Callithrix jacchus: one gene and its partners. The protein of the gene in region 2 interacts with the protein of the main gene of each other region in a biochemical or structural test. Links are inferred from orthologs where the notes say so. Each region holds a gene or a part of one and is shown on either strand. Other genes may lie near its edges.

Region 1 (3,500 bases), on a different chromosome or scaffold from region 2:
CCTCCATTTTGTCCCTGCAGCCCCGTCATCCACTTCTCCTTATTCTCTCTGTGGAGCTTGGTTGAATTTCCCTTTCTCTGATTCTGACCCTCCTCAGTTGCTAACCTTATTCCAAGACAAAAGTCGCCCCACCCTGCCTGTGGGAAACCCTTCAAACAGCCGCCAACAACTTCCAGTGCCAAAACCAGGACTAATATGCTTCAGCGTGTGAACAGCTTGGTGAATACCAACTCATTAATCACCACAGTAGGATTTCCCCTCTTCCCTTAAAGAGTAGCCCCCTGGGCACCCGTGAAAGGACCCAAATATAAGGAAAGCACTGAGCATAATTCTGCCTACCTCTTGGCCCTCTGGGAGAGTGCCTAGAGAGTATGTGTGTGTATATGTTTGTTGTCTGTGTTATGTGTGGTATGTATGTGGCATGTGGTCTGTGTGTGTGTGTATGTGTCATGTATCTGTGTGGTATGTATTGTGTATGTGGTTTGTGTTTGGTGTGTTTGTGTCTGTATATTGTGTATGTGGTGTGTGGCCATTCTCCTACCTCATCCTCCCAAGTGTGTGGTGTGTATGTGTCTGTGTGGATGTGGTGTGTGTGGTACGAGGTATATGTACACACTTATGTAAGGTATGTAAGCATACATATGTTGGTGGGAGGATGCTGGTAACCAAGTACTGTGTAGTGTCTGAAAACTTTGTGGCCTCACCTTTCTTATTCTCTCTCTCTTTGTTTATTTTTTTTGAGATGAAGTCTTGCACTGTTGCCCAGGCTGGAAAGCAGTGACACAACCTCGGCTCACTGCAACCTCCGCCTCCCGGGTTCAAGCCATTCTCCTGCCTCAGCCTCCCAAGTAGCTGGGATTACAAGCATCCACCACCACACCCAGCTATGTTTTTTGTATTTTTAATAGAGATGGGTTTTCACTATGTTGGCCAGGCTGGTCTCAAACTCCTGACCTCGTGAACCACCCATCTCAGCCTTCCAAAGTATTGGGATTACAGGCGTGAGCCACCATGCCAGCCTTCTCATTCTCTGTATATTCAACCTGGGTAGTAATACTTCTCTTAGTAGTTACTTAGTCCTTAATAGAATGGTAGTACCTTTCAGTGGTATGTGTCTGTGCCTCTGTGTATGTTTGTGTACATGCACATGCACATACGCACACAGGTGTGTACATGTGTGTGATAGAAAGGGAGGGGCACATGTGCTTAAAGGGGATGCCCACAAGTTATAGTCTCAAAGACTGCTCTGATGCTCTCCTAAAGCTCCTGGATCTTGGAATCAGGACATGTGTGATGATGTGATGATGCTCTGTCTCCATCTTGCATGACCTTGAGCAAGGAGCTTGTTCTTCCTGGCCTTTGTGTGTGAGCCAATGGATGGCAGCTCACTCTGCATTTAAATCACCCTAGCATTTACCTGTTAATGTGACATAAAAGTTCTGTGTGAATCCCAAGAACCACTTTAATATTTACGTTCTCAGAGCTGGGGCCTGGAGCATACTCAATCAGTAGCAGATGAGATTTTATGTCTGGTTAAGAATTTATCCAGCTTATACTTGTTATTAAGATAAGTGAGTGGTCCCATGGCAGACCAGTTTCATTTTGCCCATTTTAGACTGAAAGTTCCACCTTCTCTGAGTCCTGGGCAGATTGGTTGTCTCTAACTGAATCTCATACTTGTGTGAATCACGAAGAAGGGGATCTTTTTTATCTATTTATTTATTAAATTATTTAATTTTTGAGATAAGGTCTCACTTTGCTGCTCAGGCTGGAACGCAGTGACATGATCACGGCTCGCTGCAGCCTCAATCTCCTGAGCTCAAAACAATCCTCCCACCTCAGCCCCCTGAGTAGCTGTGACTACAGGTATACCACACCATGCCTGGCTAATTTTTGTCTCTTCTGTGGAGACAAGGTTTCACCATGTTGCCCAGGCTGGTCTCAAACTCCTAAACTTAAGTGATCTACCCACCTTGGCCTCCCAAAGTGCTAGAATTACAGGTGTGAGTCACCATGCCTGGCCTTTTTATTTATTTTATTTATTTTTGAGACAGTGTCTCTGTTGCCCAGGCTAGAGTGTAATGGCTCATTGCCACTTCAAAACTGCCTTTTATCATTTTCCATTTTTTCTGCATGTATTCATCCACTCCTATCTCTTTTTCAGGTCTATCAGGGAACCCTGCAGATCTGGAGAAACGTAGGCAGGTGTTTGGACACAACGTGATCCCTCCCAAAAAGCCCAAGACCTTCTTAGAATTAGTGTGGGAAGCCCTTCAAGATGTCACACTCATCATCCTGGAGATTGCAGCCATCATCTCCCTGGTCCTGTCTTTTTATCGCCCAGCTGGCGAAGAAAATGAACGTGAGTGTCCTAAACAGCTCAGTGTGACTCTGATTCTGGGTTCTTTCCACCACCAGCAAAAAGCACTTAAAACAGGTTATGTGGCTGACAGGTTATAGCTTAAAACATTCCCCTATTATCCAGAGTGGCCTTTCCAAAGGAAACCAACCAGCAGCTACTAAGCTATTCTTCCAACTCATCCTTATTCCAAGGGTTCCTCCCCACCCCACCCCCCACCCACTTTCTCCCATTAAATCCTTTTTCAGAATGTCAGGAATCTTCTACCCTTTTAAGAAATTTTATTTATTTATTTATTTATTTATTTATTTATTTGTTCATTCATTAATTCATTATTTTTAAATGGATTCTTGTTCTGTCACCCAGGCTGAGCGCAGCAGCTTGATCTGGACTTACTGCAACCTCCTGAGTTCAAGCAATTTTCATGTCTCAGCCTCCTGAGTAGCTGTGATTACAGGTGCCATCACGTCTGGCTAATTTTTATATTTTTAGTAGAGACAGGGCCTCACCATGTTGGCCAGACTGGTGTCCTAACCTCAGGTGATCCACCTGCCTCGGCCTCCCAAAGTGCTGGAGTTACAGGTGTGAGCCACTTAATAATTTATTAATAATAAAATAATTTTATTATTATGTCCCCAAACCAGCCTATTTAATAATTTTTGTGACATAGAGACAAGATCTCACTATGTTGCCCCTGTTGGTCTCAAACTCCTGGGATCAAGCAATCTTTCCGCCTCAGCCTCCCAGAGTTCCGGGATTACAGGTGTGAGCCTGTAATCCTTTCCACCACCAAAAAGCACTTAGTATTGGTGACTGACAGGTTATAGCTTAAAACATTCCCCCTGTTATCCAGAGTGGGCTTTCCAAAGGAAACCAACTAGTAGCTACTCAGCTATTCTTCCAACCAGGAATTCTCTACCCTTAATCCAACCAACAAAACCCTGCATCTTAAAGTGCCCCCCCACCACCAATTGTCTGGCTTTTTGGGAAGTAGCAGTGAAAGCCTGACCATGTTGGGAATCATAAGTGTGACCTTACATGTGGCTTGCCTAAATTTGATAGTTTGTACTATTTAGTCACGTGCATTTTTGGATTAACGTGAGTAGTTACACTGGTGATAAGACAGTACTCAATCCTGCTA
Region 2 (4,293 bases):
CTTCATTTCTCTCGCTGAATGAATGTGGAAGACTTTCTAAGGCAGGTCTTGACCTTTCTGGACACATCAGGACATGAGAGTCACAGAACCAGATGAATGCAGTAAATTATAAGCAAACCCGGAAATGCAAAAATATCAGACTAATCAGAATCTCTAATGAATTACTATTTTTTAAAATTCTTTTTAAATTATCGGAAGAACAACACACACATACACTTATATCAGAGGAAATTTAGTAAGTTACTTGTTTTCAAGGAAACTTCCGACGTCAGTACACATTCGTTTATAACGCCCTTATCTTCCTTATCTATAGCCCTGTTCAATAGCAACTGGCACTCAGAATAAGAAATTTGAGACACCACATGATATTACATTTCCCAAGAAAATAATAATGTCTCCTCATTACCAAGGCAATAAATCCTTCTACACCATTTTAGAATATTTATCAGAATAAAGAGTTGAAACAAAAAATGTTTACTGAAAAACTATCCCTTAGCCAAGAGAGGTCTCCCCTAGGCACCATGATGAATTTTGTAAACTTGTATTGAAGAGTTACAAATTTTAGGACCAAGTTAATCATCTAAGTGACTGAGGTCTATAAATCATCCCCCACAACTGAAAAAAAGTTTTCCCTAAATTGTGGTGCTTTAGAAAATGGTGCAAAAGTGAAACTTAGACCACTGTCAAGAGGTTTAATTCCACATGAATTATTATTATTATTATTATTTTTTGAGACAGAGTCTCACTCTGTCACCCAGGCTGGAGTTTAGTGGCAGATCTTGGCTCACTGCAACCTCCGCCTCCTAGGTTCAAGTGATTCTCCTGCCTCTGGAATAGCTGGGATTACAGGCATGTGCCACCACACCTGGCTAATTTTTGTATTTTTAGTAGAGATGATGTTTCGCCATGTTGTCCAGGCTGGTCTCGAACTCCTGATCTGAAGTCATCCGCCTGCCTTGGCCTCCCAAAGTGCTGAGATTATGGACATAAGCCACTGTACCCAGGCTAATTCCACTTGAAATATCAGCTACAATTCGATTAGCTTGTGGGCTCCAAAAATGATTTAAAATTTTAAAGTACAGGCTCAGGCCGGGCATGGTGACTCATGCCTATAATCCTAGTACACTGGGAGGCTGAGGTGAGTGGATCACATGAGGTCAGGAGTTCAAGACCAGTCTGGCCAACATAGTGAAATCCATTCTCTACTAAAAACACAAACATTAGCTAGGCATGGTGGTGCATGCCTGTAGTCCCAGATATTCTGGAGGCTGAAGCAGGAGAATCGCTTGAACCCAGGAGGCAGAGGTCGCAGTGAGCTGAGATCCACCAGTGCACTCCAGCTTGGGTGACAAAGTGAGACCCTCTCTCAACAGCAGCAACAAAAAAAGTACAGGTTCTGCAAAAGCAACCAAATGGCTGTTGTACACATCCTCCAGGAGACGTTGAACCAGAAACCAAAACCAAGAGTGTGACCCTTTAAGTACTTTGAAGGTGACAAAAGTACAACCACTCTCTTCTCTCTATTCACACATCCAGATTCTGTCATGTACATCTTGCTCAGACACAGCTGGAACCAGAGCTGGATGTGACCTGTCCCTCTTTTGAATGCTGAGGTGGGCAAGCATTGGCATGCGACTCCAGCATAGTTGTTCATTCCCTGGTCAGGGTCTGGCCCTTTTTCTAGTGACCTGTATTGTATTCTACTCTGTAATGTAATGATTTATCTACATATTTTATCTCACCTAATAGATTATGAATTTTTGAATGCAAGGACCATGCCTTTGTATCTTCTTTGAAGTAATGCAAAGGAAAACTCACTGTAAATTATGAAATACTTTCATAGGTCTAACTTTCTTCTTTGTAAAATTATTTGCATCTATTAGCACCTAACACATTGCAGATGCCCAATAAAGATATGTCAACTGACATTGAAATCAACAAACATCTCCAATTATTCCCCTCCTGTCACCAGAATCCCACACGGTATCTAGTAGAGTTCAGCCCAGCAAAGAGATCAACTGTCTAAAGGACATTTGTTGGAATAGAGCCCAGCAAGCTGACCTGCCATCCTCAGTTCTCTGCCCATCAAGCACAAATACCGCCATCGCCTCTTTCATTTCATACTCTAGTATTTGGTTGCACACTGTGGTGTCCTGGCAAGCTATCCAGGAGAGCTCCCTCAGGGAAATGTGGATGCCTGACCCTGCACTAAAAAAGTATTTCGGGACTGGCAAGTGGAGGGGTTGCCACAAACCATCCCCACCATTTGGATGTCCGAAAAGTAAGCATCAGCACAACTCTTCTCCCCCAGGTAGCAAGGGAAACAAAACCCATGAAACCAAAGCGGGCAGCTGATTCGGAGGACGGAGCAGGGCTTCTGTTTTTGCCTCGCTATGTCAAACACACAGGAATAAATGCAATAGAAAGACGTTTTGCTTCCCAAATGGAAACTTTGCAAGTCTTTCTAAACTGTTTTTTATCAACTAATCTGTCTTTGAACGATGTTACCTTAAAAAAAAAAATAAGCTTGTTTCAGTAACGTGGAAAAACTAAATAAATCACTTTCTCACTAGGAAATACTTCTCCTGTTTTAAAAACCAAATTCAGGAATTTGACTTTAAGAAAGAAAAAAATGAAATTTCCTAATGGCCATTTTCTGAAATGAATTAATATCTAGAGGCCCACTGGCCACCTGCTCGGAGCCAGTCAGCATTCTTACCCAATCACAGGTGAAGTCAGAAGCACTCGGAGTTTATGATGTACTGGCAATGCTTCGTTTAGAACATTTACCAACTGCTGTATTTTTTTCCACAGAGTCTCACTATTTTGTTATAAAGACTAGAAGAACAGGCCCTTGTTCTCAGGCAAGAAAACACAGAAGCGTCATTTGTTTATTATTTTTAACTACTGTGCATTTTGTGTGCTTTATAGCTTCTTCAATGATTGTTCAATTGTGAGTATATTGGCATGTGATTTGAGGTCAGCTGTTTGCTCCCTGGCTGGTACAACCAATCTATAATCTTGATAGGGAGAAATAAAGTCCAAGCTGCAAATTCTAGGCTGCCAACTAATACTCTCCCTCTCTTCAAATCTGTGTCTATCATGAAAAACATTCTCAAACTGTTTACATTTCACTGAATATTACTTAGAATATATTTTTAAAGGCATCTTTCCTCTTCTTCATTGCTTTAAAAAATGTAGACAGGCAGGCCGGACATGGCGGCTCAAGCCTGTAATCCCAGCACTTTGGGAGGCCAAGGCAGGTGGATCAGGAGGTCAGGAGATCGAGATCATCCTGGCCAACATGGCGAAACCTCATCTGTACTAAAAATATAAAAAAGAAAAAAAATAGCTGGGCATGGTGGTGTGTGCCTGTAGTCCTAGCTACTCAGAAGGCTGAGGCAGGAAATTTGCTTGAACCTGGGAGGCAGAGATTGCAGCGAGCTGAGATCGTGTCACTGCACTGCAGCCTGGCTGGCGACAGAGTGAGACTCTGCCCCTCTCCAAAAAAAAAAAAAAATGCAGAGAGGCAAACAAAAGAAAATGGTCACCAATTCTACCACCCAAAGGTAATCACAATTAATTATATATATTATATATGGAAGATTTGGTGCAAAATCTTCCAGGCTGTTGGAAAGAGGTTTTGTTTGTTTGTTTTATTGCAGGGTTTTCGTTAATAAGCACCAAAAAAAAAAAACTGAAAATAAGTTTTGCTAGAGTTTTAAAGTGATGCTATCTTCTAAAAAAATTTTTGCTAACTAAAACCACATAAATAAGATTTTCTTTCATTGAATGTTTTTCGTTTGCCACCAGTATACATACAGCTCAAGTGGGCCATCAGTCTAGGGGGTGATGGGCATTTTTAAGAAAAATACATGAACTTCTGCTGTTCCAAAGTCCAATACAAGAGTAATCACAAGACTGCTTTAACCGATTCCATTTGTTTCATTTCCTTCACCTCCCAGATCATCCTCCACCCCACTCCAGGTCTTTTTTAAATTTTTAAATTAATCAATTATTTGAGATGGAGTCTCACCCTGCCACTGGGCTGGAGTACAGTGGCACCATCTCGGCTCACTGCAACCTCCAACTCCCTGGTTCAAGCTATTCTCTTGCCTCAGTCTCCCAAGTAGCTGGGATTACAGGTGCACACCACGATGCCCTGTTAATTTTTATATTTATAGTAGAGATGGGATTTCACCATGTTGGCCAGGATGGTCTCGATTTCCTGACCTCGTGATCCGCCCATCTTGGCCTCCCAAAGTGCTGGAATTACAGGTGTGAGCCACCGTG
Region 3 (2,807 bases), on a different chromosome or scaffold from region 2:
TCCCCCTACTCCATTCCTAACCCAGGAATTACTGACTCATGGAATTAAGATAAATAAGTTAGAATTTGTTTTGGTTTGTTATATTGGTGCCAACCAAATAAATGCCCAACCATTGTTCTTATGAAGTTACTGAGTTCTTAAAAATGATGCCCAAAAAAGTATCAGTTTAGTTATGACCAGGCTGCCAGATGTAATTTGCCTTAGGTGAAGAGTGATGATATGTACATACGGGTCTGAGAAAAACATAATAAAACTGTTAAGTGCACTAGGTTCAAAATAGATTCCAAGAAACAAAATACCTAGAAAAACAAGAGGAGGAAAGTTCATAGCTTAATTCTTTGGTGTGGTCCATCTCACAGAGTGTATTAACTGTATAAAACTAGGAAAAGTCCAAAATAGTTGGATATATGTATGTTGTTTCCTACATGCAGTTACATTTATGTTTACTAGATCTGTTTTTCCATATACATACAGAAAATTTAAAAAGAATAGAGAACACATTTCCAAGGATGAAATTTCCACATTTATTTTTCTTTCATGTGCATAGAAAATGGCAGTGAAGTGTCCTATGAACGAGGCGAGGAATGGGCATGGCGCTGCGGTACCAGCCTGGACGTTGTGCTTCCAAAGTACACTATGCATGGTGGAGACAAAGGACGTCGCAGTTTGATTTTAATTGCTCACAGTTCCTTGGGCTTCCCATTTCTTTTTGAAGTTGTCAGTTTCTTCAACTCTCTTTTCAAGTGACACACTGCATTACAAATGATGGCACTTAACCAATGTGGCATTTCCATATTTACACCAACAAAAGAAATTTACAAGACATAATAGCATACAATCTTGACATTTAGTAATAGCGATAAAACATGGGCATCCATTTTATTTTTTCTGTACAAACTATCAGAACATAACTTTATTCACATTAAAAAAATCATCTTTAATTGGATTTGACCTACACATCCCCCATTTCATTTCACCCATTTCTCAAACCTCTCATCACGTCACCCACACCTTCACCAGACTACAGAATCTACAAGTAATTAGATCTAACAACTAAATAGAGCTTAGAAAGTCCTCTCCCAAACATTTCCTCACTTCCCTGATAATTCCTCAAAAAAGAAAAAAAATGCACTTCACTCATTCCTTCCACTTCACTTTCATATTTCAATCATCAAATCAGCAAGACGGACTTCACCTCAATCCAAACAAGGTTAGAAAGAAAAAGTTCCTCTGTCGGGCGTCTTGATGCTACACCCATGAGTCCGGGGACCCCGGGTACTGTTCTGCTCTGTAAGAAGGTCGTTTAGTGGAATAAAAGTCTACATAATTTGTGGTTGATTTCAGTCCATACTGTGTTGAGTAATCAGCAGAAGCTGGAAAGTGAACTCGGTCATCAAAATAAGGGTCTTCATAGCTATGAGGAGACTGCAAATACAATCTGTACGCATCAAAGTTCTTTCTGTTGGAGTCATCTTGACTATAATACAGCTGTTGATGCTGTTGACAAAATGAAAAGGCAAATAAATAAAAGCATTTTTTTTTAAAAAAGACACGTGTTAGGAAAATTAATGTGGGCTTCCTGCTTCATATTTTTAAAGCAGAATTCAATATTTGCAGCTTATGGTTAAAGCTGTTTCTGGCGCACACTGTGTGTTTACCATTGGACTCTAAGGATTGCACGCTACATTCTCAGGCGGGCTCCTGAGTTTCCTGTCCTAAGACCTCTAGAGAAGTAGGTGCCTCAGGAGAGCCTGAGCTCTCAGGGCAAGTGGCCCCAGCGACCTCCCCTCATTACTGGAGGCCCTGCTGTCTGCTCAGCTGTGGAGGGACATGTTACCTGGGCATGCCAAATGAGAGGATGGTTTCGGTATTTTCTTTGACATAGGGTATTAGTATATCACTAATTTAGTCGAGGATTGGGTTTCTGGGCCTTGGATAACTGTATAATTACAGAACCATCTTTTAAAACATTTACTTCAGATATGAAGATTGAGTCCACCCCTCCATTTTAAAAGATGTATGTGGCTATGTGAACAATAGTCACACTTTAGAAACTCTGCTGTAAGTCGTAATATTAAAGGAATCAACAATCTCAAGGCAGAAGAACAGTAAAATTAGGAGAGATATGTGAGCAAATACGGTTCTAGAGGAAAAGGCTTCCTCAAGCCAAGGCTAAGTCCATCTGTAAGTGGGCAAGGCAGGTACACAGGGGTGCCCACACAGGGCACCCTGTTCTCCATTTCCTTTTGTCTAGTCTTAGCTTTGATCTCACGTTAATTTCAAATTGTGATGGTTATTATGTCTATCTTCCTGCTGATGCCCAAATCCCCCTACTTAGTAAGATGTAACGAATTTATCACCCAGGAATCAATGTCATGTCCTGGAACTCAAGGCATTCTAACATTATAAGGATTTCAGAGCCAATTCTCTTTTCAAGCCTGAGTTATGCTTCTGGTCTATTTTTCCTGACTAAAAAACTATAGCATCTTTTATGAATAACTTAGAAAGTACTTTTTCTTCCATCTACAGAGAAAAGATGATGAGGAGCGGTCTTAGAGCACATCCTTATCTGAAGGACAGAAAACAGTCTTGTTTTAGGAAACTCCAACTGCTCCGTGGGATTAAAAAGGAAGAGGAGAGACCAGGTGGTCCAGGTTTGCCGTGGCATCGGGAAGGACCTGAAACTGACTGCAGGCCCCTCATGAGAGCAAGACCTAGGTGTGTTACAACCACCAGTCCCACAGTTCATCCTGACAGGGGCTGAGTCCAGTCTGACCACTGAGACACAGAGACCTGGCCATGGACTC
Region 4 (4,058 bases), on a different chromosome or scaffold from region 2:
CACCCAGAGATGACAGAGCCGGACCAAACCCTAGTCTCCTGTTCTCCGTCGTTCTCCATAACCCTGAGCTGTCAGGCCTGGGCCCCACACTCTGGGTTGTCAGGGAACCCCCAGCGCCCACGGCTCGGGTTGAGCCAGCTACTTCCTGGCCATCCTGCCACTTCACTCTAGCCCTCTGAGGAGACCGGAGGGAAAGTGCTCCTGCCTCGAGGGTAGTGAGAGGAGAGAACACCTGCAGTTAGACAGCCAGAAGAACTTCCCTGGGAGTCTGGCTATCACTGACTAGACCCAGTGCAGAGAGGAAGAGACTGAGGCACCCCAAAGCCAGGTGGAGAACCTATGAAATCTGAAATCCCTCTGACTCTTCTGAGCCCCAAGGATGTCAGCATAAGAACAGCAACACACAAACCACCGTAAGTGTTTCTCTTCCTTGTGGGCTCGCCCTACACAAAAGGATCCAGTCCCAGCTCCTCAGTGTGGTATAGCCAGGTCCCACCTTAGCCGGCATCCGACATCCCATAAACCAACAGGTACACCCTGATTCCACAGATTCCAGAACACGCCACAGGCCTCTGCACCTCTCTGCCTGCACTCACTGTTCCCCCCTGCCTGAAATGCGCCTAGCACCTTCTTTGCCCTGAGACTCCTTGCTGTTTCCCAAGCCCGGCCTCAGTGCCACTTCCTTGAGAAAGCCACTTGATGACCCCAGCAGAAGTCATTCATTACCCACTCGTTCATTCAGCCAGCGCTAGGCACCCACGACGTACGAGCCCCTGGGCTGGGCACAAGTATGGTTCTTGCTTAGTGGGCTGAGGAGTCAGGCTAAACTAGGCTCAAAAGCACCTGAGAGCTACTTGACCTTGAACATGTTTTTAATTTAGCCTGTCTGTAGATTGAGGACCCTGACGTCCCCCATTCCCCAGAGGCAGATTAAATGAGGTGGATGCCCACAAAATGAGCAGTTCATGGTAGGCGCTCAATACATGTGACCGTCCTTTCTCAGGGATCTTTCTGTGCGGACCTCCACAGCGCACGTCCTGTTCCACGCCTCTCCCTGGTTACTCTGCTGTGTCCTCACAGGCAGACAGCTAGGACTGATGTTCCATCACATGAACGCTCAGTGCGTGGATGCAGGAGAGATTCAAGCAGCCTGAGTGCCCAGTCGGCAACAGATGTGTGCCTGGTCTTTCTCACCCTTTTGCATGGATTGAAAGTGGGAGGATGAAGGTGAGACAAATGACCTGCTTGGCCACAGGCCTGACCTGGTAGCTGTCCTGGGAGTGTGGGGTGCAGGGGGTGGAGGAAGGAGCAGAAAGGAGGGGAACATGGATACAGGGATGTCTGTAGATCCAAAGCATCTTCTCTCACAGGATCAGCCCCCTGATGCCAGGTCCCTAGGCACAAAGTTGAAGATGGGATGGGGGCTCTGGGGCAAGGAGGGTCACCTTTCCAGGCCTGGGCTGTGCCCTGAGGCAGCTGCTCATCCTGCAAGAAGACTGGATTGGGAGGAGGTGGGGAGAGGCAACCAGAGGAGCTCCAGGCAGGGAGAGGTTCAGAGACCCCAGGAAAGAGTCCTTTCTCTCCTCTCCCGCCCTGCGTGACCCTGGGCAGCCCACCTCTCCTTTCTCGGCCTTTGTTTCCTCATATGTCAAGTGGAAAACATAACACCTATTTTGAATATCTGTGTGTGTTTGTTTTTAGTTTGGTTTTTAGATAGGGTCTGGCTCTGTCACCCAGGTTGGAGTGCAGTGCTGCCATCTCTGCTCACTGCAACCTCCGCCTCCCCGGCTTAAACCATCCTCCCACCTCAGCCTCCCGAGTAGCTGGGACCACAGATGTGCGCCACCATGCCCAGCAAATTTTTGTAGAGATGGGGTTTTGTTATGTTGTCCAGGCTGGTCTCAAACTCTTGAGCTCAAGCAATCCGCCTGCCTTTGGCCTCCCAAAGTGCTAGGATTACAGGTGTGAGCCACTGGACCTGGTGGAGCAGCTGTTTTGAGGATAATCAGAGACTAAAGGAAGACTCCACATTGTTCACCTTATGTGAGAGTAGCTTCTAGCCCTGTGTGAGGTGGGGGGTGGAGATGGAAATGGGCATGCAGAGGCCTGGGAGGAATGTGAGGGGGTTGGGGAAAGGCATGGATGTCAGAACCTGTGTGTCCCTGGGAAAGATTCATGTCCTCTCTGGACCTCAGAGGCCTCATCTGTAATGGGACAGTGTGGACTGGGTCTCCCAATGGGCCTTGTCAAGATCCAGCACAGATTCGTCTCCCCGCCATGGAGTGAGGACAACCTGAATCTCCCTCTCTCATGCCCCCAGCTCAGCACTATCCAGACATTGACAGGCATTGTCTCCTTTCATTCTTGCAAGAATGCTGTGCTACAGGCACCTACTACCAATGGGGTAACTGAGGCATGGGGAGTCATGGGATGGGTGGCATGATTGGGGTGGCTGGAAGCAATGGTCTGGAGAAGAGAGGCTCACTCTGAAGTTTAGAGGGGAATGCTGGTGAAGCCTCTGTCCGTCCATACACTTTGGCAATGTGTCCTGCCCATCTCCTCTCTGTTCTCTCCCTTGATCCTCACAAGAGCTCTATGGGGTATGGGCTATGCGTGTCTTTACCCCACAGGTGAGGACCCTGAACTAACACTCAGAGAGGGGAAGGGCTTGTCTGGGGTCAATCAGGCAGTAAGCAGCTGTCTGGGCCAGGATTTGAACCAGGCTCAGCTCTCACTTTCTAGGGGAAAGGTCATTCCAGGCTAGCAGAGTACTCACCAACCAGCTCACTCTGGGGGACTTCTCATGCCTTCTGGGTCCGACAGCAGCCCTGAGAGCCCATGTGGAGGGCGGAGAGGAGCGGAAGGGAGGGCGACTTGGGACTGGCAGGTGGACAGCTGAGGAGGAAAAGGAAAAGGCCACTTCAAAATGCTAGAGTCACAGAGTCCAGAGGTTTTTGGCCTAGAGAGTGTCTTAAAGTCCAGCCAGGGCTGGGTGTGGTGGCTCATGCCTGTAATCCCAGCACTTTGGGAGGCGGAGGTGGGCAGATCACTTATCGCTTGCGGCCAGGAATTTGAGGCCAGCCTGGCTAACATGGTGAAAACCTGTCTCTACTAAAAATACAAAAATTAGCCAGACATTGTGGCGCACACCTGTAATCCCAGCTACTCAGAGGCTGAGGCAGGAGAATCACTTGAATCTGGGAGGAGGTGGACGTTGCAGTGTGCCAAGATCTTGCCACTGTGCTCCAGCCTGGGCTACAGAGCAAGATTCTGTCTCAAAAAAAGAAAAAAGTCCAGCCAGCCCATTCTGCAGATGAGGCAAACTGAGGAAGTCCAACTGCTTAGATTAGAAATCAGATCAGGACACACCCTTGGAGCTCTAAAATCCCAGCAGCTCCCAGGTGGTAAGGTCCAGAGGCAATTAAAGGGTCACTGGGAGGGCAGAGGGCCAGAATCCATCCCAGCAGGCTGTGCCCTGGGGACAGAGGACTGTAGGGGTCTCTCCTGCCCTCCACCTCCACCCTCGCCCACCCCCCAGCACTCAGTAGTCACCAGGGTGGAATATTTTAGCACCTATAGAAAAACCGCCACAGACGGCCGTGGCAGCTGTTGCTAAGGAGACGCTCCCAAAATAGCCCCCCTCCGCCAACCTTTCCCGCTGCTGCTCCTGCTGTGGGGAGGGGAGGAGACCAGGCAGGGAGGGGGTGGCACATGAGTCCTCGCCCCAGGTTCACCCACCCACCCTGGCCCCTGGTGCCCACTCTGGCCCAAGACACAGGTCTATGGAAGGGCAGGAGCTGTCCCATGCGTGCCTGTGACCTCAGCCACAGTCCTCAGCTGGGGAAGAAGGTCACTCAGGTGATAGGAGATGGGGGAGAAAAAGCCCCCACACCCAGGACCCCTCAGCACACTCCCACACATACACGATCACAGGTTCTCCTAGTTCTCTACATCCACTTGTGCACACCACAAGTACAATCCCACGCATGCCCACCGAGGGGCATGCACACATCAGCAAAGACATTAGATGCACGGGTAAACATGTGTCACAAGTACAC
Region 5 (3,979 bases), on a different chromosome or scaffold from region 2:
TTCATTGAAATAGTGAAATAAAATGTTCAAGATCCCTCACACCCTGTCAAAACAGATTGAGAATCCTCAAATGACTAGCAGGTCAGTTCATTTTACTACTTGTGATTCACCATCACTGTTAAATTGAACTTTGTTATACTTGCAGAGTTGGAAAAAAACACTTAAAATGTTATGTAATTTTTTTCTTTAAGACCATAGGCTCTAAAATAAAACAGGCTTGCTTGTATATTACATATGTGACATTTATATAGTCTAGTTCCAGTGTTCTGATTAATCAAGAAAATAGGTGGCTGCCAAAAAGATTTCTGCCCTATTGCTGAGCTCTGTCTTGTTTCTGTGGACGGCAGCACGCACTCCAAAATTTCCCTCTTAAGTTTTCCTATTTCTTTGTCATACTTGGCAATATTTTGGTAAGTGCAGCTAACGGGACAATATAGGTGACCAATACCACACAGTGTCACCCTAACCTGACGTTTTCAGCTACCAACTTGTTAATGCACTCAAGGATGAATGAGCCTACAACGGGACTAACATACAACCAAAGGCCTGGTGACAAAAACAAGCAAGCAAAGGGATAACAAAATATATGTGTTTTTTATGATCCTGGCAATTGATTTTAAGACTCGCATTTTACCTGAATGACTTCAAGTGTGTAATAACCACTCAAAAAACAATTCAGTAAGTAAAAGCAGAAAATAACAGGCTCAAACAGGAATCAGTATTTTTCTGAATCAGCTGTGATAACAGCTACCATTGGCTGAAACCTCTAAGCAAACACTAGACAACTTGAGGCAGTCCAGTGCAGTTCTAAGCATGCTCCTCCCCCTTTCAGCTATCTCTTTTATGGTCAAGACTCAGCCAATAATCTGCCATAAATATTTCCTTTTTGTCCCCCCAATTTTGCCTGAGCTTAGAAAGTTAAAAGTGATGAATTTCACTTCTTCCCACAGAGTTGCATTAAACTCTGCTGTGCCTGCCAGCATCAAAGTGGCCAAGAAAGAGCTGGATGTGCACTAGTAATCAACAGCAAAACACAGAATTATAAGGGAATGACTTCTGGTTTCCTCTATGCTCCCCCTCCCCACCCCCAACATATCTACTTTTCGTTTAGTGAATGGCATCCCACACTCCTGCCCACTTTTACCTTTATCCTTCCCAGACTCGAAAACTTCTCCTTGTCTTCCATTACTGCTTTCAGAACAGGCTGGGACATTCTGTTCTTCTTCTTCGAGCTGGTAGGACTGTCAAAATCAAAGCCACTGACCACTGCCCTGCGATAAGACGTGGACCGCAAGCCTCTCCGCAGAGACCCTGGGCTATCCACGTCGTTATCGACCTCACTCTCCTCCCCTGCGTGACCCAGGGGTCCTCCTAGGCCCTCCACCATGCTGCGCACCTTAAGCAGCCTCTTGTGGGGCTCCACATTCTGACTGTTGGATTTACTGAGTTTAATTTCTGAAGCCAGACTCTTCGGAATGATCTGCTGCTTCCCCACCTTGAGAGCGGCGGGGCTGTTTGTACTCAAAACCACGGAAGGATTCTCGGGGAGCTCGTTCTCCTGGGAGGGCAGCCTTTGGAGGGGGAGTTTATGTTCCGAAGAACTTTTCTGGGGCGCAGGAGAGAGCCCCCTTTCGGGATCCTTAGCCTTCTGGCCACACTGCGAACCCGAGCCAGGAGAGTCGTTATTAGCGGCAAGGCCATTTGCAGTGGGCGAAGGCACCGGGCTGGCAGTCAACCCAGTCGGGTCCTCCTCGGGGGTGCAGGGGACGGGCGCGTTAGGAGTCCGCGGGGGGCGCAGCCCCGGCGGCGGCGCAGGGGAGGTCACCACGCCGTTTGCTGGGGACTTCGGGGAGCCGCCCGGCACCGCTTTAGGGGCCTGGGGTGACTTGGGTCGTCGAAGTCGAGGAGAGGCAGCCCTGTACTCCGGGGAGGCCATCCCACCATTGGCCACCGCTCTCTGCTGGGTGCCCAGAAGCAGGGGACTCCTGCGCACCGTCCTGCTGTCCGAAGCGGTGGGCACCTGGGCGGGAATCTGCGCTGCGGGGAGCGTCCCTCGGTCCTCCACTGGGAAATCCGTGATCAGCAACCCGTTGGGGCTCTGATAGGACTGGGGCCTCGGCTTGCTCCGGCCCAGCAGCTGGGGCTGAGGGATCGACCGCCTCCGCCACAAAGGCGTTATGCTGTTGCTAGAAAAATCCACCTCGCTCTCGCGGTCCATAGCCGGGCCTCGAGGTCAGCCCCGGGAGGAGCAACGCCAAGTTAGTCTTGCCTAAAGAGGAAAAAAGTTACGGTACTGTGCCTCCCGACAGCCCGGCACGCCTGGCAGACTCGTGCGCTTCGAATCCGGCGGTCCCCCTGCTGGAGCGCAGGACTCCACTGCACCGCACTTTAACCCGCCCTTTCTCGGGCAAAAACTGCACCACAGCGGTGCGCGTTCCCGGTCAGAAATCTGGGCTGCGGCCCAGGAGAATTAATCCAATCACCTTCGCGTCCCTCCCGCCCCAAAAGACCACCCGCACCAAACGAGCCCGCCACCAATTCACTGGGTGCAAGCCGAGGCACAAGAAACTTGGGACGAGTTCAGCTTTCTCGCGACCGCGGGACGCTCCCTTCTGTCGCCATCCAGCCGCCCGCCCTCATCGTGGGTACCCTCGTGTTCCAGGTGCTCGGCTCCCAGGCAAATTTACCTTCTGGGGCTTGCAATGTCCGGGGCCAAGGAGCACCCACTGCCCCGTGGGTGGCCCGGGTCCGGGACCTAAGTGCGGCCGCGAGAGTTCGGGAGAGCTCTGCCGCCGACGACGGCGCCGGCCCCGCCCCCACGCCTGACTACGCCCCCACACTTGGCCCCGCCCCCGCTTCGGCCCCGCCCAGATCCGCCTCAGTGGCAGCCAAGACAAGCTGTCTTCCCGCCCCCGCGTGCCTACGGTCGGCCCCAGTCTCCCAGGGAAACAAACTAGCGCACCTGAGCTGGGTTCTGAGCTCCAGCGTTTGCGGCTAGAAGTTGCGGACTGGTGGTGGCGGCGGCGCGGGAGTGCAGGCGCGCGGGGTCGTTGCTGGGGGACACAACTTGAGAACAAGCTATGGAGCCCTGCCGAAAAGGAGTTTACGAAGCCCTGAACCCTAGAGTTCCCGTGTTAAAACCGAGAACGCGGCGGAGCAGAATTTGTGAGATGCGTGGGCAGCAGTGCGGAGCTCAAACGCAGAGTCACGCCCTTTCAGCATTCAGGTGGTCTTATCTGATGGGCTGCTCCACTGCTGAAAATACATTATAATATAAACAGAGTGATGTGCTTGTTTGTGCCTAAAGTCTTTCCGTAGGAAAGACGCCTAGTAGCTGTGAGGAGGGAAACTGGGTGGCTAGGAAACTGGAATGAGGGAGAGTTTTCATATAATTATTTTTGGTACTTGTATGCTTTGAATCTTGAAAACTATCTATGAAAAATAAACTCAATTTACACGACAAGAAAAATATTGGTTTCCAGCAGTACATAGAATAAAACTCAAAATCCTTGGCTTACAAGACACTGGACTACTTACTGCCCTACCTCTTCAGCCTAGTTTTTCCGCTATCACTTTCTCCCTTATGATTTATTCGGCCACATTCAAAGTTTGACAGCCTCAGGAACCTTCTCTCTCGTTCCTTCTTGACCGTCTGACTTGTCACTGCCTCAGAAAGGCCTTCTCTGTCCCCTCATTTATACCATTGCCCCTGTTGTTTTCCCAGCTACTTCTGCACTTACCAAATTTTGTATATATACATATATTTTTTTATGTGTTTATGTTTATTTTCTGTTTTGTCGTTACACTAATTTGCATGAGGGCAGAGGTCGTGTTTTTTTTTTTCTTATTTCAGGCACATGGTGGGTACTTAATATTTGTTTAATGGGTGAGAGTGAATGAATGACAGGAATGAAGTGAAAACAGTGGCCATTCCTTCCAACGTGCTTGGTTGCCAAATAGCAGAAAGATGGCTATGTCT
Region 6 (3,500 bases), on a different chromosome or scaffold from region 2:
TATGTATGCATGGGGGAAAAGAGTAGAATGCACCAAAACATTAACTATGATTGCCTCTAGGGGACGAACTTTGGGTGATAAAAAGAAATTTTCTAATTTTCAGAATCTCTCAAAATTTCTGAAATAATTATGTATTACCTTCATTTATTTGTTTATTTATTTAATAATTAGAGGGGAGAAAGATACACACACACACACACATATGTTGAGAGAGAGAAGGAAAAAGAATGGATGAATGAATGATGGCAGGATTCTAGCAGACAGCTCCAAATGGCCTCCGATCTACCTCCGTCTTCCCATGTTCACCATCCTTCTCCACTTCGATTGCTGAGTGAAACCCACTCACTCTTCTCTCTAAATACTCTGCTAGAGAAAATGTTTTCTTTGCAGGTTGTGGAGGCTCACACCTGTAATCCCAGCACTTTCAGAGGCTGAATCGAAGCAAGGAGTTTGAGACCAGCCTGGGCAACATGGGAAGATCCTGTCTCTACAAAAAATTTAAAAATTGGCTGGGCATGGTGGCACATGCCTGTAGTCCCAGCTACTCAGGAGGCTGAGGTGGGAGGATCACTTGAGCCCAGGAGTTCAAGGCTGCAGTGAGCTGTGATCACATCACTGCACTCCAGCCTGGGTGACAGAGTGAGACTCTGTCTCTAAAAATAAAAAACAAGAAAAACAGAAAACAAAAAAAGAGAAAATGTTTTCTCCCTTGGAAATGAAACATCTCCTCCTTGGACGGGTGCTAAAGGAACATCCTACGTCACACTGACTTTCTTACCATAGCAGCCTCAGCTGCGCAAACCCCGATGGGCAGCCAATTCGTCTTGTTTTCAGTTTGCTTTTTTTTCTTTGCCTCTATTTTCCTCTTTCTTTTCTGTTTAAATAATCTTGACATCTGTACCATTTTTAGTAGGCTGCTCTTTGGTGATAGGCAGGGCTCGACATCAATAGAATAAGCAAAAAGAGCAAGGCGACACCTTTCATCTGGCATTCAAGTCCCTCGTATATTGGTTGCAATGGACCTTCTCAACCCATCAGTGACCTCATCCCAATTGTTTTTCTTCTTCTTCCTCTTCCTCCACTTCTCCGTCTTCTCCTTCTTCTCCTTCTTCTTCTTCGACAGAGTCTTGCTCTGTCACCCAGGCTGGGTGCAGTGGCGCAATCTTGGCTCACTGCAACCTCCGCCTCCCGGGTTCAAGTGATTCCCCTGCCTCAGCCTCCTAAGTAGCTGTTATTATAGGCATGCACCTCCATGCCTGCTAATTTTTGTATTTTTATAGAGATAGGGTTTCCCCATATTGGCCAGGCTGGTCTGGAACTCCTGGCCTCATGTGATCCACCTGCCTTGACCTCACAAAGTTCTGGGATTACAGGCATGAGCATTCAGCCGTCAATTGTTCCCTAAAGAAAATAAATGTTCCTGCCTCTGCGCCTTTGTTATTCTCACTGCTAGGTAAGCTCTCTATCTCCATTGTGTCACCTTCTCCATGCCGTCAAGACCCACCTTAAAATACAAATACTGCCCCCCTGGGAAGCTAGGTAGAGGTGGGCTCTCCCTCTGTTGAGCTCTGACTGCACTTTCAGCCTCTCTGATGTCACTGCTCACTTTCTGCCTTATGTTAGTTATCTGGGTACAAGTCAACCTCTCCCCAACACGGGGAGCTCTCTCAGAACAGGGACTATGGCAGACTCCCCTTCATTGTCCTTGGCACCCATCATGGGGCTTGGCACACACTAAGTGCTAAGTGTTGACTGACTGGCTGGTTGTTTGTTCAAGTGATAAATGAATGCATGAATAGAGGAAAAGGTACCCAAAATAATTAAATGAGTCCTCAGGGGGGCATAAATAAGAGAGGGAAAGAGGGAGTGAGGAAAGGACAAGTGAATGACTGAATGAATGAATCAGAGTAAGCGTTCTAAGAGTCAGGACTTTATCGTGTTCACTGCTTGAACCCCAGGACCTAGAAACCTGGTACACAGTGGAAGTGCAGTAAATACTCAGTACAGTGGGCAAATGACGAATTGAGAGAATTAATAAGTGAATATCCTAGGAACATCCAGCCAGGGCAGAAAGTGACAGCAACACAAAGTAAGTTCCAAGGAACAGATGGGATATCCTGCATCCTTCCCCACCTTACCCCCCAGTTTCCCTTCCCAGGTGAAGGGCAGGAAAAGCTGATAGGGAAGTCACCTCTCAGGTTCTTGATGAAGTCATCTAGTTTCATCTTTCGTTCAGCCTTGACGCTGGGACTGTACATGTCGGTATTGAGGAGGATGATGGCAAAAGCAAGGATGAAAATGGTGTCTGGGTTCCGGAACTGGCGCACGAGGGCTGGGTTACAGACACAGTACCGCTGGCTATAGGGCAGGAGGGGTCAAAGCCAGATTCAGGAACCAGCCATCTCTGCCTACCCACCATCCACCCAGTCTGGCACCACCAACTCTTTCCTGTAAGCAATACTTCCTCGATCTCTGGGTCTGTCCTCTTCAGAGTTTCCCCTAGACCAGCATGTAAAACTCACAATTGCCACCTTTTGCAGAGCTCTTCCAGGGGGTTTATGTACATTGTTTCATGTAATCCTATCATAATCCTGAAAGGAAGCTACTGGCAGTCCCAATTTACAGATGAAGTGACTGAGGCTCAAAGTGGTGAGGTAACTTGCCCAAGGTAATAGAGCTGGTATATGGTGAAGCCGGGATGAAAACCCAGATATTTCTGAATGCAAAGCAAATCCTTCTCCCATTATGAGAAACAAGTGCTCAGCAACTCCTGTTTCTCTTCTAAATACACTAAAGTGGCGGAGCCAGGATTTAGACCCTGGTCTATCTGATCTCCAAAGCCTTTACGGCAGAGTAAAATGGTTAAGGGTAGACTCAGACACATACAAGTTCAAATCCTGTATGACTCTGGGCAAGTTACTTAACCTCTCTAAACTCCTGATTTCTCTTTTTTTTTTTTCTTTTTTTAAGTTTCTTTTTGTTTTAAACTCCTGATTTCTCATCTGTAAAATGAGAATAACAATCGAAGCGCCTACCTTATGAGATGGTTGTGACGATTCGGTGAAATAATCACGTTAACGTGCTCAGCTCAGAGCACCTGATACCTAGTAAGCACTCCGTGAATGTTAGCTACTATTGCTGATGTTGTTGTTACTTATTGAATGCCCCTGTCCTGGGGCTGAGCTAGATACCTTACGTGCACTACCTCTGATCCTCATAATTGCCTTGTAAGATAGGATTTATCATTTCTGTTTTATGGTCAAGAAAGTATGTGGCTCAGAGAAGTGACTTGTAAATAGTACATCGATGCCCACAGGAGGGAGGGGCAGCTTTGTGAGTGGGAGGCAGGCACACCTGAAGGCTTCGATGAGTCGCTCCACTTTCTGGGCCTCACCCTGAACCCGAATATGGGACTGGAACTTCCGGAGTGCATCATCCAGATCCATGGAGGAGAAGTCCATCTCATCCACCACACAGCTAAGGAGCAGAGAAGGGGGTGT
Region 7 (4,088 bases), on a different chromosome or scaffold from region 2:
TTCACCAAGATCGAAACGAAGGAGAAAATATTAAGGGCAGCCAGAGAGAAAGATCAAGTTACCCATAAAGGTAAGCCTATTAGGCTTACAGCAGATCTCTCAACGGAAACCCTACAAGCTAGAAGAGAGTGGGGGCCAATATTCAATATACTTAATCAACAGAACTTTCAGCCCAGAATTTCATATCCTGCCAATTTAAGCTTTACATTTGAAGGAAAAATAAAAATTTTTAGGAACAAGCAAGTACTCAGAGATTTTATTACCACCAGGCCTGCTTTACAAGAACTTCTAAAAGAAGCACTATACACAGAAAGGAACAACCAGTATGACCCTTTCTAAAAATACACCAAAAAGTAAAGAGCATTAACATAAAGAAGAATTTTTATCAATGAAAGGACAAAATAGCCAGTTAATATCAAACGGCAGCAACCCTAAATTTAAATCGACCAAACCTCCCAATCAAAAGATACAGACAAAATCTAACGGTATATCCAAAGATATACATAGACTCAAAATAAAGGGTTGGAAAAAAAAAAAACGTACCAACCAAATGGAGAGCAAAAATAAATAAATAAGCAGGAGTTGCAATTTTCACATTTGACAAAATAGATTTCAAAGCTACAAGGATACAAGGATAAAAGGATTAATGTAATAATAAGAGATCTTAACACCCAGATACATAAGACCCATAATGAGATTTAGATTCAACGAGACAGAAAATTGATAACGATATCCGGGACTGGAACTAAGATCCAGAACAAATAAACTCAATAGGGCTCTCCATTTTAAACACACAAAATATTCATTATCCACAAAATCTAACGATATATCTAAAGATATACAAAGACTCAAAACAAGGGGATGGAAAAAAGCTCACCAACCAAATGGAGAGCAAAAATAAATAAATAAAAAGCAGGAGTTGCAATTCTCACACTTAATAAAATAGATTTCAAAGCTACAAGGATGCAAGGGTAAAAGGATTAATACAACAATAAGAGATCTTAACACCCAGATACATAAGACACATAATGAGATTTAGATTCAACGAGACAACAAATTGATAAGATATCCAGGACTTGAACTCAGAACCAGAACAAATAAACACAACAGAGGTCTCCATTTTAAACACATAAAATATGCATTAACCACTTTAAACACTCAAAATATTGATCGGCCATTATTGAAACCCATTTTAGGAATGAAGTAATATTCCTTTTTCCCTCTTTTTCTTTTTTTCCCCTTCTTTTTCTCTTTTTCCCTAAAAAAAAATAAATAAATAAATAAATAAAAATTAAAAAAAAAAAAAAAGAAATACTGACATCAATATTAAAAGCAAAAAAAAAAAAAAAGAAAAAGAGGGCCAGGCACAGCCTGTAATCCCAGTACTTTGGGAGGCTGAGGTCCGTGGATCACCTGAGGTCAGGAGTTTGAGACCAGGCTGACCAAGATGGTGAAATCTCATCTCTACTAAAAATACAAAAATTAGATGGGCAAGGTGGCAGGTGCCTGTAATAACAGCTACTTGGGAGGCTGAGGCAGGAGAATTGCTAGACCCGGGAGGCAGAGGTCGCAATGAGTCGAGATCGTGCCACTGCATTTTAGCCTGGGGGACAGGGTGAGACTCTGTCTCAAAAGAAAAGAAAAAGGAAAAAGAACGCTACAGTAACACCCTAATTGCTTTCCTGTTTCTACTCTCACTGCTCTACTGCGCTACAGTGATGCTTTTAAAGAGCAGGTCATATCGTTCATTCCCTTGCTTAAAAACCCTGCAGTGACTTCCCACGATTCTCAAAATAAACACCTCTCTTCCTTAAAGAGTAATAAATAACTTTTATAAACTTTGATGAGTTAATCACATAAACAAATGGATAGCATTCATGGCTGGTAAAAAGGAGCACACACATTATTCAAAATAAAAATCTTTACCATGATCTGCAAAAGCCCAACCTGATTGGCCCTTCTTATGCATGTATGACCCTAGCCACATGGCCTTCCCTGCTGCTGGTCCAAGTCCCTGTGCTGAGATGCCTTTGCCCTGTCTTCCTCACTCCACTTAACTCTCTACTTAAGGGCCACTACCTCCCACAAGACTTCACTGGCCTCCCTTTCTAAAATAGTTATCCACACATATACTCCCCCTAACTCTGCTGTAGTCTGTTTTGTAGAGCTTATCACTAGCACTACTCTTTTTTTTTTTTCCCCCGAGATGGAGTCTTGCTCTGTTGCCCAGGCTGGAGTGCAGTGGCACGATCTCAGCTCACGGCAACCTCCACCTCCTGGGTTCCAGCAGTTCTCCTGCCTCAGCCTCCTGAGTAGCGGGGACTACAGGCACGCGCCACCATGCCCAGCTAATTTTTGTATTTTTAGTAGAGACGGGGTTTCACCATATTGGCCAGGCTGGTCTCAAACTCGTGACCTTTTAATCTGCCCACCTCACCCTTCCAAAGTGCTAGGATTATAGGCCTGAGCCACCATGCCCTGCCCACCATCACTACTTTTTTGTAGCATTAAATATTCATTTCTAAATTGTCAGATCCCCATACTATACATTTGTACTCACTTCTCAGACTCCTTTGTGTTTGAGGTCTGGGCTGGAATGTGGCCACCTCAGAAGAGCTGGTAAAGCCTGCAGCTGTCCTCGTCCTCTTCCCACTCCCAGCTCCCTCCCACGTATGAGGAGCTCCACACTTAGGCATGGGGAATTCTAGCCCTCATGTCCTTGTCCCCAATGCCTGAAAGCAGCTGCTCTTGGCCACCTGTAGGACGTAGGGCTATACAAACTTTATGCTCTGATGCAACTAGGGAACAGCTCATAGCATTTGAGGACATTTGGCTGGGGACTTCCCAAGTATCCAGAGCACAGTACAAACAAGGAAGTGTCCCTTAGCCCCACAGACTCCCAGCCCCCTCGGGTCAAGAAAGGGGTTGGATGAGGATCAGGGAGAGCTCTAATCTGTGTCTGGTCCTCATTCAGCCCTTTTCTGTCCCAAGGGGCTAGTTCTCTCTGGTCAAAGAATGGCACCAGGACAATGTGTTCTTATGCCCACGTCTAGGAGTAATTTGGCCTTCATAGTCCAACCCCAGATTTCCTTTCAAGTTCTATTCCTATCAGTTGCTTTCCCACTTTCTTCCCATGCTCCAGTCAAACTGAACTATTTGCTTATCTCTAAAAATAAAAAGCACTATTTTGGGGCCTGAGAGGAGCACAAAATGGTAAATAAGGGAACTGGCTGTATTGGAAAGAAATTAGCAAATGCTTTCTTGAAAATAAACAAGGCAGGCTTGGTTTTTTTGCTTGTTTGTAGTTCGTTCGCTGGAACTGAACAGACCTAAACAAACAGGGAGTCCAGTCCCTTCATGACACCCATGAAGAAACAGAGGCACAGACTTGTTGAGCAGCGTGGTCATGGCACACAGCTAGTCACTGTCACACCAGGCCTGGAACCCAGAGCAGGGTCTGGAGAGCTCCCTAACCATCTCCAACACAGCCCTACATACGCTGTTCTCCTTGTGCCTTCTGCTGCCCCATGGCCATGGGAAAGACAGGCCCTGGTTCTTGCTATCCCCTCACCCAAGATCTCCTTCAACTCTGAAGACCACTGATTCTAGCGCCCTTCCCCATCCCTTTCAAGCCCAACTCTAGCCTAGTGCCAAGAGCCAAACCTCACCCCATCTCTAGTTCCCACAAGTGCCCCAAATATTGAAACTTGGGGGAAATAAAAAGTAGGTCTTCCTGGAAAGCTCCAAACTGCTGCTGCTGTGTCAATAAAAAGGAAGAGGCCCTGGATCTATTTCCTGCATGTCCCAGAGTTCTCCAACAATGACTATCACCAGGACGATGTAGATCTTACCTTCACACTCCAGAACTGGGGGTGAGGGTGAGGGTTTTCTGTGCAGCTTCTTCATGCAGCTGTGGAGAGGGGCTGGGACCAAGGTTGCTCCTCTGAAGACAAGGTTCTTCCTGGGCCTGGGATCCTATTTCTAATATTTTATTTATCTCAATTAGAACTCACGGAACTCACAGTCTACACATATTATATTATCATTCTCATCTTTAGGGGGCAAAAAGCTTGAAACAACATTTAATT

What was found.
Region 1: the proteins of DLG1 (region 2) and ATP2B4 form a complex in vitro, tested with the Homo sapiens proteins (2 studies listed by BioGRID and IntAct, with this or other methods). The link is inferred for Callithrix jacchus from reciprocal best matches to the Homo sapiens genes DLG1 and ATP2B4.
Region 3: the proteins of DLG1 (region 2) and PKP4 interact in a test that uses a peptide from one of them, tested with the Homo sapiens proteins (2 studies listed by IntAct, with this or other methods). The link is inferred for Callithrix jacchus from reciprocal best matches to the Homo sapiens genes DLG1 and PKP4.
Region 4: the proteins of DLG1 (region 2) and KCNJ4 form a complex in vitro, tested with the Homo sapiens proteins (2 studies listed by BioGRID and IntAct, with this or other methods). The link is inferred for Callithrix jacchus from reciprocal best matches to the Homo sapiens genes DLG1 and KCNJ4.
Region 5: the proteins of DLG1 (region 2) and ARHGEF26 interact in a test that uses a peptide from one of them, tested with the Homo sapiens proteins (2 studies listed by BioGRID and IntAct, with this or other methods). The link is inferred for Callithrix jacchus from reciprocal best matches to the Homo sapiens genes DLG1 and ARHGEF26.
Region 6: the proteins of DLG1 (region 2) and IQSEC2 interact in a test that uses a peptide from one of them, tested with the Homo sapiens proteins (2 studies listed by IntAct, with this or other methods). The link is inferred for Callithrix jacchus from reciprocal best matches to the Homo sapiens genes DLG1 and IQSEC2.
Region 7: the proteins of DLG1 (region 2) and CYSLTR2 interact in a test that uses a peptide from one of them, tested with the Homo sapiens proteins (2 studies listed by IntAct, with this or other methods). The link is inferred for Callithrix jacchus from reciprocal best matches to the Homo sapiens genes DLG1 and CYSLTR2.

The regions. Positions count from the first base shown.
Region 1 is NC_133520.1:30,765,861-30,769,360, forward strand, and holds part of ATP2B4 (plasma membrane calcium-transporting ATPase 4), read left to right. Parts: intron 1-2,164; coding exon 2,165-2,362; intron 2,363-3,500. UniProt on the Homo sapiens protein: Calcium/calmodulin-regulated and magnesium-dependent enzyme that catalyzes the hydrolysis of ATP coupled with the transport of calcium out of the cell. By regulating sperm cell calcium homeostasis, may play a role in sperm motility.
Region 2 is NC_133516.1:24,798,814-24,803,106, reverse strand, and holds the start of DLG1 (disks large homolog 1), read right to left. Parts: upstream 2,801-4,293; 5' UTR 2,720-2,800; intron 1-2,719. UniProt on the Homo sapiens protein: Essential multidomain scaffolding protein required for normal development. Recruits channels, receptors and signaling molecules to discrete plasma membrane domains in polarized cells.
Region 3 is NC_133507.1:71,213,881-71,216,687, forward strand, and holds the end of PKP4 (plakophilin-4), read right to left. Parts: intron 1,498-2,807; coding exon 1,249-1,497; 3' UTR 501-1,248; downstream 1-500. UniProt on the Homo sapiens protein: Plays a role as a regulator of Rho activity during cytokinesis. May play a role in junctional plaques.
Region 4 is NC_133502.1:209,372,827-209,376,884, forward strand, and holds the start of KCNJ4 (inward rectifier potassium channel 4), read right to left. Parts: upstream 2,801-4,058; 5' UTR 2,777-2,800; intron 1,228-2,776; exon of another isoform or gene 1,100-1,227; intron 1-1,099. UniProt on the Homo sapiens protein: Inward rectifier potassium channels are characterized by a greater tendency to allow potassium to flow into the cell rather than out of it.
Region 5 is NC_133518.1:31,304,235-31,308,213, forward strand, and holds the start of ARHGEF26 (rho guanine nucleotide exchange factor 26), read right to left. Parts: upstream 2,801-3,979; 5' UTR 2,219-2,800; coding exon 1,145-2,218; intron 1-1,144. UniProt on the Homo sapiens protein: Activates RhoG GTPase by promoting the exchange of GDP by GTP. Required for the formation of membrane ruffles during macropinocytosis. Required for the formation of cup-like structures during trans-endothelial migration of leukocytes.
Region 6 is NC_133524.1:53,587,831-53,591,330, forward strand, and holds part of IQSEC2 (IQ motif and SEC7 domain-containing protein 2), read right to left. Parts: intron 3,478-3,500; coding exon 3,355-3,477; intron 2,359-3,354; coding exon 2,192-2,358; intron 1-2,191. UniProt on the Homo sapiens protein: Is a guanine nucleotide exchange factor for the ARF GTP-binding proteins.
Region 7 is NC_133502.1:67,304,573-67,308,660, forward strand, and holds the start of CYSLTR2 (cysteinyl leukotriene receptor 2), read right to left. Parts: upstream 2,801-4,088; 5' UTR 2,561-2,800; intron 1-2,560. UniProt on the Homo sapiens protein: Receptor for cysteinyl leukotrienes. The response is mediated via a G-protein that activates a phosphatidylinositol-calcium second messenger system.